3 linked regions of the Xenopus tropicalis genome follow. The protein of the gene in region 1 interacts with the protein of each later gene in a biochemical or structural test. Links are inferred from orthologs where the notes say so. Each region holds a gene or a part of one and is shown in the gene's direction. Other genes may lie near its edges. The genes, in order: sumo1, rnf111 and usp25.

Region 1 (3,751 bases):
TTAAATCAATACAAAAAGATACAAGTCATAAGTTAAAAGATACAATAGGATATAGTGATAATCAAAAACAGTTCGTTAAAACTAAAATGTTGGCCCTATTAGTTCATTAAAAAAGTGAACTAGGATAAATGAGGATGGTACAATAAATACGTGCATAAATAGTCATTTAAAAAGCTAAACGTATTTATTGTACCATCCTCATTTATCCTAGTTCACTTTTTTAATGAACTAATAGGGCCAACAATTTAGTTTTAACGAACTGTTTTTGATTATCACTATATCCTATTGTATCTTTTAACTTATGACTTGTATCTTTTTGTATTGATTTAATGATTAATTAAAATATTATAGAATTTTTACACTTGGTGGTATATTTTTTTAGCGCTAACTCCTTGTTATAATATTTATATATTCACTGTGAGGATTAGTTTGGAGGAAGGAGGCTATTTATGATATTCTATTCACTATTTGGGTAAGAGGATTGTTGTTGGGTAATTTAATTTGTTTTTTAGAATAATATTAGTCTTTCACGAACTACACATAAATTTATTAGAAGCGCGGGTAAGGTTTATTCACACAATTTTGATAATTATGTCTATTCTCCACCCACCCTATGCCTCGGTATCTGTTATTTAGTCTCTTCCCAATGTGTCCTCTAATATAGAGGCATCAGGGGCTCTCAAGGGATCAGATTGACAAGATAAGATAACCAATTTTTTTTTCATATAAGCAATTGTCTGTAATTTGGCTCATTCATTTAACCAGTTTATATAAACATTTGTGGTCAATTTCAATCATGCGACGCAACCAAAAAGGTTAAGAATCACCTACTAAAACGTCAAAAGCCACGTAAAGCCAGGTAAAGCCAATCTACTATGTAACGGGGCCTTTTAATGATGTGAGGCTGGCAGTGCCAAAGCCATTAGACGCCTACTATTAATGCTCGGCTTTGGAGAGGTTAATGCTCTATACAGAAAAAACACTGGATATCAATGGTTAAAGGCTGACGTTCGCATTACAATATGGACACAAAAGCGCCACCTAGTGCTCAGCGTCTGTGCAAGCGCATACCCCTACCATTTGCCGCAAGCCGCAGCAGTGCGCGTCAGCAAAATGTGGGCGGTGCCGCATGTATCGGAAATGAGGTCATTCCCAAGAACCGGAACACCTTCCTTGTCTGGTTCTCTTGTGCTGTTATTGTGCCCGGAGGAAGGAAAAGCGTAGAGCGGTCCAGTGTAGCGAACCGATACCGGCCGAGAGCAGTTAGCATGTCTGATCAGGTGAGACACTTTTGTGGAGTGGGCGGGAGAACGAGAGAAAGTCTCTGGGACGTGTGTGTCTTGTTTTGTGTGTCTGGAGACCTGCTTGTAGATGTAAACAAGTAGGTCTCATGGCTACACATTAATATGCAGCTAAAGTAGTACATGCGGCCCATAACCAAGGGCGGCAGCTAAGTCATTTACTTTCATTTTATACGACACTTAGACTATTAGAGCTGGTTGCTATGGGTTTCTGCTGCTGTGCACTTTTGCTGGATAAACTGCTCTATAGGACCCACACCCCGTTGTGTGTCGTGTAATTTGCTTTATGTCTTATTGTCCAGTATGTGTATCTTCTCCTGTAGATGTTATTATCTGTGAGTAATTGCCCAGTGGTGGTTGGCGAAGTGAGAGGCCTAACAGGAAAGCCAGAGATATATTGGCCCATATAGTTATTTGACCTATATAAAGTATATATTAACCTAACAAGTTTCAGCAGCTTTAGCCTTATGGGGTCTCACACAGCATTGATTTGTTACAGTAGGGTAAATCTGTTAGCCTGGAAGAGCTCAAAGCATTTCAGAACTATCAGGTACATAAATTAAGTCTATTTATGAGCATCCACTAAGTGTTTGTAGATACATTATTATGTTTGGTTGAAAATATAACAATCGCGTTTAACCCTTCCAAACAAACACCGCTGCACACGTATACACATGTTAATTTAATTGTAGTGGTAATTCCCATTACCCAGGGGAGGTATCATGTTAAGCTGTGTGTAGGTATGTGGGAGTTAACGATTGATCTCTTGTAGTACACTCTGCTTGTTTATATTGTATGTAATGTTCAAGCACATCTTGTTTTCTTGCATGACTTTCATAGTTTAGGATCCCAATCTTATCTTTAATGCAGCCACCTAAAGGGTGACGGTTTAAACATTCAAGTGGACTACAGGCCAAAATGATTAGATCCCTGTGATGTTGGGCAGTACCAGCTAGTCCTGTCACTTCAAACTTTGCTGATGCCGCATTCATGTGGGCATGGGGACCACTGGGAGCCCCAAATTTCTGTCTGGCCCAATTAAGTGCACTTTCAATGGTGCGACGGATTAAATACCAGTGATGCACGCAGATGTTTCTGTTGAAAGCTGTTTTTCCCATTATTGGTATTTATTGCCTTACATTTAGGGCAACATTGCGTACATGCATTTGTGTCAAATGTATATCACTCTGTTATTTTGTATCTCAGTCTGTGGGTATGTGTGAACAAGTATTCCCATTTCATCATACACCTCTAAAATAGTGTCTGAAAAGTTGCTTTTTGTACAGCTTTACTGAAAAAAAATTTAAATACTTTGCTAGCACCATTGAGCAATTCCATTCACTGCTGGGTGCTTTTCCAAGATGTGCAGAAGAGTTAGTAGGGCTCCTAAATTATCTCTGCAAGTGTAATTTCAGTCTCTAACTTCCGCGCAGTTAGTTGTGTGTAAAACCACTTTCATTTGAGGTACGTAAGTGAAAATGCGCTTCTTAAAGGACAAGGAAAGTCGAAATCTATTAAGCACACTATTAAATAGTACTACTATTGCTGTGTAAAAACGCTATATTTCTGGCTTGCCCAATGAAATATTTACAGAGATACACATACTAGAACTTACATACTTGTTTCAGTGAACGGCGCCGCCATCTTGTCCAGCATGTCTGTATGGGCTATTGCTGAAAAGCACAAGCCAGCCCCCCTCCGATCCCCTCACCTGCCACAAACCCTCCACCGCTCCCCGCTTCTGCCACAACCCCCCCCCGCTTCTGCCACAACCCCCCCCCCGCTTCTGCCACAACCCCCCCCCGCTCCTGCCACAACCCCCCCCGCTCCTGCCACAACCCCCCCCTGCTCCTGCCACAACCCCCCCCTGCTCCTGCCACAACCCCCCCCTGCTCCTGCCACAACCCCCCCCCGCTCCTGCCACAACCCCCCCCCCCCTGCTCCTGTCACAAACCCTCCGCCGCTTCCCACTCCTGCCACAAACCCCCCGCCGCTCCTCCCACCTGCCGGCTCTGCATGTCACAAATGCAGATGCATCACTGCATATCAACTCCCCCGGCTCCCCGCTCCTGCCACAAACCCTCTGCCGCTCCCCCCACCTGCCAGGTCTGAATGTCACAGAGCAGAGTTCTCCTGTCGGCTGCGTCGCCATGGCAACCAGACGCTCCTGCTGTGTGCGCATGCGCTGCCTACAGTCCCAAGTTGCCAAGTCTGGGCAGGAGCGTTGCATTATGGGAATCTTCTCTACCCTGCTCAGCGTTTTTTTTTCCTGTTTGGCTTCTGATCTTCTGAACAGGTGAAGTATGGGGAGACTTAAGGGCACTATTGAGTCAACTGAAGGTATGCCTGCAGTTTGGGATTAACTCTTTATTAGCCTTTCCTTCTCCTTTAAACTTTAATGTAGGTGTGCTTGGCACAGCTCAGTCCTTCCTGTCTTGTGAACTAAGGCA
Region 2 (3,651 bases), on another chromosome or scaffold:
ATCCTTTATTTTGAAAGTGGCGACCCCATACCACTGTACAGAAAGCTATTATACAACACTTAGGGCTCTGGCACACGGGGAGATTAGTCGCCTGCGCAGCGTGTGCCATCCCACCGGCGACTTATATTGTCGCCGGTGGGATGGCAATTCGGGGAGATTAGTCGCCCACGAACAGGGAGATTTGTCACGGGTGACTAATCTCCCTGTGTTCCAGAGCCCTTAACTGCAGTAGTCCCTGTGGATATTTGTGACTGATACACCAGTTGGACAGCAATGATCTATGCTATGCTTTGTCAGTGCTGTCCAACTTCTGTGGTACCGAGGGCCACAATTTTTCCGACCTCCGTGGTGAAGGGCCGATAATGGAAGCTAGTTTTGACCACTCCCCTTTTTTAAAACCACACCCACTTGATACCACACCTATTATCGCATGACCATAGCCATATTAATGGTGGTAGTACAGCAAAAACCTGCCATACTCTGCCTTCCCTACCCTGCCTGTGTGTGCCATACTCTGCCTTCCCTACCCTGCCTGTGGGTGCCATACTCTGCCTGCCTTACCCTGCCTGTGTGTGCCATACCCTGCCTGTGCAGTACCACCACAGTATATGTTCTTTTTATAGTGTGCAAGGTTTATTTGTGGGTTTCTACTGCTCCTATAGTCTGAGGTGTGAACAATGTGGGTGATTACAGCCTTAGCCTGAGGTGTGGACACTGCAGGGGGTGAATAATGCAGGGATTAAAAGGTGTGAACAACACAGTGGATTACATTTTTAAACAATACACAAAGGTAAGCCATCAAAGCAGCCAGACAGGTGGGGGGCCACACAGAGGGGGGTCGTGGGCCGCCAGTTGGACAGCCCTGCTTTATGTTAACTGGCAACATTGAAGCAGCATCCAGAGGCAATCCAGAACGAATGGAAGCCACCCACCTCAAAACAGCAAAGACATTTGATCACAGTTCTATCAAGGGCTTTCTTCAGTGTTTTTTTTTTTTTTTTTTACCCTTCAAGCTTTTTTTTTTTTTTTTTTTTAATCCAAATCTTTACATTCCAGTATTTGGCTGGTACTGTTCTAAGCTCACAATGGTGCTACTGATATATAGTATTAGGTCAGAGCCTAAGGACAGCAAAGAGATGTTTGCCCCAAATCTCACCCGTATTGAGATAACCCAGGCCTGTGTGACATTTAAAGAAATGGAGCACTGGCCTGGTGTTTAATCATAGTGATTGTAAGGCTACAGCCAGAAAGGGCTGATTCTTGGCCTGTGGAGAAACGCAGGCCAAGAATCTCTCCCAACTGCCTTTTGATGTGCCTGAGAAACTGCCTCGACCTGGGTGCAGACATACCGTGAGGATTTCTGCGGCAAAATGCATACTCATGCATTTAGGTACCAATATCTGCTCTGTGCCTGCACGTGGGCCTGGGCAGTGGCTCGGGTGCAGGCACAGCCAAAAGCTGATTGTCTGACAGGACTGATCGTCGACCTGCATATATCCACAGGCTGAGTATCAGCCCCGGGTTGCTTAGGCCTTATCACTTGGAGTTCTTAACACATTGGCACCTTCCAATGATGTACACTTTCCCTGTGTTTTATTCCTTGCTTTACTTCTATAAAACATATACTATATATGTAAATATATAAATATTTTTTTTTTCAGCCCACCTTGAAATCCGTCTGCTAATTTGTGATGTTCTAAACATATGAATCTTTTTGAAAAGCGGATATGAAGAGTGAGGTTTCTTCAGATGCACCAAAGAGACAGGAGAACCTTAAAGGGGTGCTCCTGAACCCAGAGGCTATTGGGGCCTCTAAGAGCTTTCCAAAAGAAGTGGAAATGATTGCCAGCAAAGTCAGCAATGAGTTCTCTCACTTGTGCAGTGATACCAATAAACAACAGAGAGACTTGAATAGCAATGGAACTGAGCAAGAGAAAAACCTTGTGGTTCATAAAAAAAGGAAAAACCAGCAGGCTGGCACATCTTATGCTCAAAGCTGTGAGGTTAAGGAAAACCAGAGACTGTTAAGGCTTCAGCCTCAAAGTGATGAGGACAATGATTCTTCTTTTAGTGACTGTATCTCTTCTCCTTCATCAAGCTCACATTTCGGTGACTCGGACACTATGACTTCTGATGAGGACAAAGACAACCCTCGAAGGTATTCTCCTGCAGGTGTAAATGCTACTCCTAGAACTCAGAGTGCAAGGGCCCAGAAGTGGCCCCGTCCTCACACAGACTCTGTATCTAGTTTGGTTATGAAGCGGCCTTGCTACCAAGTCAGTTCTCTGAGGAGGCCTCTGCACCGTAAAAGATTTGTGAAAAATGTCTCTTCCCAGAGAACACAGAAACAAAAAGAACGTATGATGTTACAGAGGAAAAAGAGGGAGGTGCTTGCCAGGCAGAAGTACGCCTTACTTCCTAGCTCGAGCAGCTCTAGTGAGAATGATCTTAGCAGTGAATCTTCCTCCAGCTCCTCCACTGAAGGAGAAGAGGACTTATTTGTGTCTCCTGGGGAAAATCACCAAGATGGTACAACTCTTCCTTCAGGTAAGGAACAAGTCCTATATCAACTTTTCGGTGTTTGATTTTTAAAAATGTCTTCATGTATATTCAGTAGTTCCTTATATATGCTAACAAAGCAGTCTTAGAAATGTGGCTCTGCAGGTCCCATGAGCGTCACTGTCATTGTTCAGCTTAGAGGTGTAGACCTGTATTATGGCTTAGCAAAATTAACTTTTTTTTTGTGAATCTATTAGATCTTTTTGGGAGGATAAATGTAAATGTTATCAATTAGAATATTGAAAGTTTGGGTTTTCAACAGGTTTTTTTTCCCACAGAATTTTCACCCCCTTCATCCTCAGTTTGCCTAAGGGTTTAATACTGTTTGTTTTTCTGTTTTTTTATAACATAGCTATCAAGCAATGGAAGCTGCTAGGCATGATTAAAACAGGGATTTAACATTTTAGTTTCCTCCATCTCTGGGTATTGACATCATTTAGTAGCACAGTGGCATGGATGTTGCTGCCTTGCAGGGTCATCGTTTGATTTAAGCCAGGGAATTATCTACAAAATGTGTCCATATTTTACCATCCAAATACACTGTAATAGTTTTATTGGCTCCTGATACAATTGTCCATAGTGTGTGTTATTGGTTGCTTAGATTGTAAGTGCCACTGTGTCTGGGATCAGTGCTGTTTCATCCATAAGGCAAGGGTACATACAACATTTGTAATTGCTCAAAAGGCCTGCCACTGGGGGTCATTTATCAACACTGGGTTAGTTTGCCCGTTGACAGTAACCCATGGCAACCAATCAAATTGTTGCCTTCATAGTCCTACCTACAGCTGGCTAAAAAAAGTCAATCACTGGTTGCCATGGGTTATTACCCACAGGCAGAGTTGCCCAGTGTTGATAGACGAGCCACCGTTTTTTCACACATACATGAGATTTAACTGATAAGCCCACAGTGATTTAAATTTGCTGCAATGGTGGGCATTATAAGGGCGAAGACACACGGGGGCCAATAGTTTCTGCAACTTTTTAAAAAGTCGTGACTAATTGCCGTACTACAAACTGCTAGTCTTGGGGACTTATACATTATCATGTGGTGGCTATAGCACCCTTAGGTGTTTTGTTGCCTGTGGTTATATG
Region 3 (3,751 bases), on another chromosome or scaffold:
CGTGGCTATTTTGGGCCCAGCTTCCAGTGACTGTCAGTGTATGTGAGGGTAAGGACCGTATCAGGGCGGGTCCTACAATGACTGCATGTGTGAAGGGCGTGAGTAGAGAAATGCGAAAGGCTGGAGGCGTACGGTGTCCGTCTTAGGACTTTTGTCTGAAAATGCAAAGTCCCGCTCTCTGCCACTCTACGCCTCCCTCGCTGTTGGTGTTCATGTCTATGCGATCTCCTCTGTGTGCTGGCAGGCCCCCCATTCATTCGTCTCTTATGCCATCTGCTCTTACTTTCCCCTGACAGCTCCCAGTTTCCCCCTTTCATCTTCCTCCCTGCGATGTCATTCTTTGTCCCTCCTCTTCCGCCATCATTCTTACGGGCAACAGAATTATTCTCTATCCACCCTACTCTCATCCCACAGACCTGCCCCTAGCAACGTCACCTGTGAGGCCCTCCTATATTTCACTTTCCAACACACACACTCTGGTGTGCTTTATCAGCTTATGTTATTTTCTCTTACCCTCAGCCGTGTGGTGTCGGCTTTACCTAGTCCTGCCATTTCAGCTGCACATTTATTTTCTTCAAAAACATTTGTACTTGGGTGGAATAATGGCGCCCACACTCTTTTTAAATGCATTAGATTAATAAAGCAATCGCTATACAAAATGTAATGATCACGCAGTGTTGCTGGCAAAGAGATCTTTTTTCTTCTAATTTGGATACTCTCATGTATTGTTAGAAAACCATTTGTTCGGAAGCAGCAGGGAGTTGCACATGGCTGATATACGGCTAAGGCACAATGCAGATAGAGAATAGATATAAAAGAAACGCTTATAAACTAGAGCGTTTGTTTGGAAGTAGGAAGGCGTCATGGCTGACTTCAGAACAGGGGGCGGTGCGTTGGCTGAGAGAGCCGGGCAGAATGAGCACAAACCATCCCGCAGCCCTTAGGAAGAATGGAGGAAAGCTGGCTGTGACGTACTGGATGATGTCGTAGGGTGGAATGCCCAGGATGACGTAGTAGGGAGGAGGAGGATGAATGGGGAAGCTGGGACCTGTCAGGAAAAAGTAAGAGGAAATCGCATAAGTGAAATGGGAGGGGGGAATGGGAGGAGGATAAATGGGGCAGGCGGGACCTGTCAGCACAAAGTAAGGGGAGATCGCATAACTGTTACCAGCAGTGGGGGAGGCGCAATAAAGATTTCTTAGCAATAGAGAGATTTTACAGGGGAAGAGGGCAAGACGCACTTTTTGGCGCATAGATGTCCTAAAATGGACACCGTACTGGGGAGAGACGGGCGGTGGCGGCCGTAGAAGCAGCAGTCGCACTGGGAGCCGGGCACTGTCGGCCTGTGGATATACCATAAGGCTTGGTACATCCCCCCGCAGGCTGCTGGCTCATGATCCCGCCGGGCTGAGCTGATTCGCAGTCACTCGCCAGTTCCCGTCCCGGGATCCCAACAGCAGCGGCAGAAGGAGGAGGATTTATCTGGGCCATGACCGTGGAGCAAAATGTCCTGCAGCAGAACTCCCAGAAGGTAAAGAGCCGCGCTGGCTGCACCCAGGGGCGTAACTACCGGCCAGCAGAGCTGGGGACGGGGCACGGACGGTGGGCTCTTCTGCCTGGAGGTCATCTATCCCTGCCGGGAGCAGTGGCTGGAGAGGGGGAGAGACTGCCGGGATCGTGGAAGATTCTTTTTTGGGAGGGGGGTGGGGTGCTGTCTATGCCTGATATACCGGTGCCTGCATGGCCGTGTGTCCCTGGCTGCCTGCCTTGCACCCTCCTTTGTGCATGTTCATGAGCATTTGTGCGCCCTGCATTCTGCGCCCCTGCGCCCTGCATTCTGCGCCCCTGCGCCCTGCATTCTGCGCCCCTGCGCCCTGCATTCTGCGCCCCGCATTCTGCGCCCCTGTGCCCCGCATTCTGCGCCCCTGCGCCCCGCATTCTGCGCCCCTGCGCCCCGCATTCTGCGCCCCTGCGCCCCGCATTCTGCGCCTCTGCGCCCCTGCGCCCCGCATTCTGCGCCCCTGCGCCCCGCATTCTGCGCCCCTGCGCCCCGCATTCTGCGCCCCTGCGCCCCGCATTCTGCGCCCCTGCGCCCCGCATTCTGCGCCCCTGCGCCCCGCATTCTGCGCCCCTGCGCCCCGCATTCTGCGCCCCTGCGCCCCGCATTCTGCGCCCCTGCGCCCCGCATTCTGCGCCCCTGCGCCCCGCATTCTGCGCCCCTGCGCCCCGCATTCTGCGCCCCTGCGCCCCGCATTCTGCGCCCCTGCGCCCCGCATTCTGCGCCCCTGCGCCCCGCATTCTGCGCCCCTGCGCCCCGCATTCTGCGCCCTGCATTCTGCGCCCCTGCGCCCTGCATTCTGCGCCCCTGCGCCCCGCATTCTGCGCCCCTGCGCCCCGCATTCTGCGCCCCTGCGCCCCGCATTTTGCGCCCCTGCGCCCCGCATTCTGCGCCCCTGCGCCCCGCCCACATGGGCTCTGCACCAAGGCTCACATTTCCAACCAGCTACACTTCTGTGCATATACTAATAGCGCAACAGCCAGGGGAATTCTGGGAGTTGGAGTTCTGTGTGTACAGGTTCCTGTGTCAGGGGCCCCCAAAATCTTAGTGCATCTGTAAGGGCACCTTTCCCTTGCAACAGCTGCTTAACAGCATCTTCCTTGGGTTAGGGGATGCTGGGATTTGTAGTCTTGCAGTATTGCCTATTGGGCATCCAATTTATACCTTCTCCTTGTAGTGACTTATCTTCCAGTAAAGTGGAAGCTTCCTGTCAGAGGCTGTATTTATTGGATACCCAAAATCTTCCTTGGTCTAGTAAACACACCCTTATTGCGCCTATGCTGCTGCTTTATGTAACGCTTGGTTGCCTTCAGCAGCTGCAGACTACAATTCCCAGCATTCACTAACAGTTATAGCTGATATGGCCCGCTGGGAGTTGTGGTTCTGCAGCTACAAGTTATATGTATGTAGCCCCTCTGTATCTTGTCATATAATACATCAGGTCCATATGATTATTAGCAGGATTTCTGCTGGTGTCAAATACCCCCTCGCTCCCTCAGCAAACTGCCAGGCCTTGGCTAATGTGTGCATTCCATCAGTGTCCCTCTATGCAGTGTATATTGCAGTAGCTTTCTGCGTATTAATAAGAATTCACCCCTTTAATGTGTTTGGGTGAATCCAGCCATTTGCCCGTGTTTCCCTACTCATCCCTGGAAGGGGAGACAAGCCTGACCCCAGCCTCTCTCCTGTGGGCTGCCCATAGTACTCAAGCTCCTGGTCTGGAAGCCTAATCCTGGTGCGGAGGGGGTGGGGCACCCCTGTCATTCCCAGTCTGTAGTGGTCTCGGATCAGTGTTACCAGCATCCGCTTAAAGTGTGCAGTTCATGTGGGGGGCTGTTCAGTACATTCAGGGCTGAGTCGAATTCTTTGAAAAGCTAAAGCGGAACATTTTTACAATTCATGACTGGGTGCTGAGTCTGTGCTGCTCACCCAGCACCCGGTTAGGTGCTCTGTCAGTTCATAAATATTTACACCCTTTTGTGTGCGGTTCATTTTGCATAAATTGGAATAATTCTTCCTGAACGCTGCTATGTAGTTCTGCCTTGTGGGAAGGAAAGGCAAGATGCCGGTACATTTCATACCAGTCAGAATGTTTGTTCTGTATTTAAACACCAACATGCCATGCTTCTCTCCGTTACTGGGTAATTCTGCGCATTCAGGTGGAACTGCCATACTATTGTTTCTATCCATTCT

The links.
Region 2: the proteins of sumo1 (region 1) and rnf111 form a complex in vitro, tested with the Homo sapiens proteins (3 studies listed by BioGRID). The link is inferred for Xenopus tropicalis from reciprocal best matches to the Homo sapiens genes SUMO1 and RNF111.
Region 3: the proteins of sumo1 (region 1) and usp25 form a complex in vitro, tested with the Homo sapiens proteins (2 studies listed by BioGRID). The link is inferred for Xenopus tropicalis from reciprocal best matches to the Homo sapiens genes SUMO1 and USP25.

Annotation. Positions count from the first base shown.
Region 1 is NC_030685.2:52,313,509-52,317,259, reverse strand, and holds the start of sumo1 (small ubiquitin-related modifier 1 precursor), read left to right. Parts: upstream 1-1,164; 5' UTR 1,165-1,268; coding exon 1,269-1,280; intron 1,281-3,751. UniProt on the Homo sapiens protein: Ubiquitin-like protein that can be covalently attached to proteins as a monomer or a lysine-linked polymer.
Region 2 is NC_030679.2:99,178,559-99,182,209, forward strand, and holds part of rnf111 (E3 ubiquitin-protein ligase arkadia), read left to right. Parts: intron 1-1,661; 5' UTR 1,662-1,727; coding exon 1,728-2,547; intron 2,548-3,651. UniProt on the Homo sapiens protein: E3 ubiquitin-protein ligase. Required for mesoderm patterning during embryonic development. Acts as an enhancer of the transcriptional responses of the SMAD2/SMAD3 effectors, which are activated downstream of BMP.
Region 3 is NC_030678.2:27,028,008-27,031,758, forward strand, and holds the start of usp25 (ubiquitin carboxyl-terminal hydrolase 25), read left to right. Parts: upstream 1-1,232; 5' UTR 1,233-1,489; coding exon 1,490-1,531; intron 1,532-3,751. UniProt on the Homo sapiens protein: Deubiquitinating enzyme that hydrolyzes ubiquitin moieties conjugated to substrates and thus, functions in various biological processes including inflammation and immune response.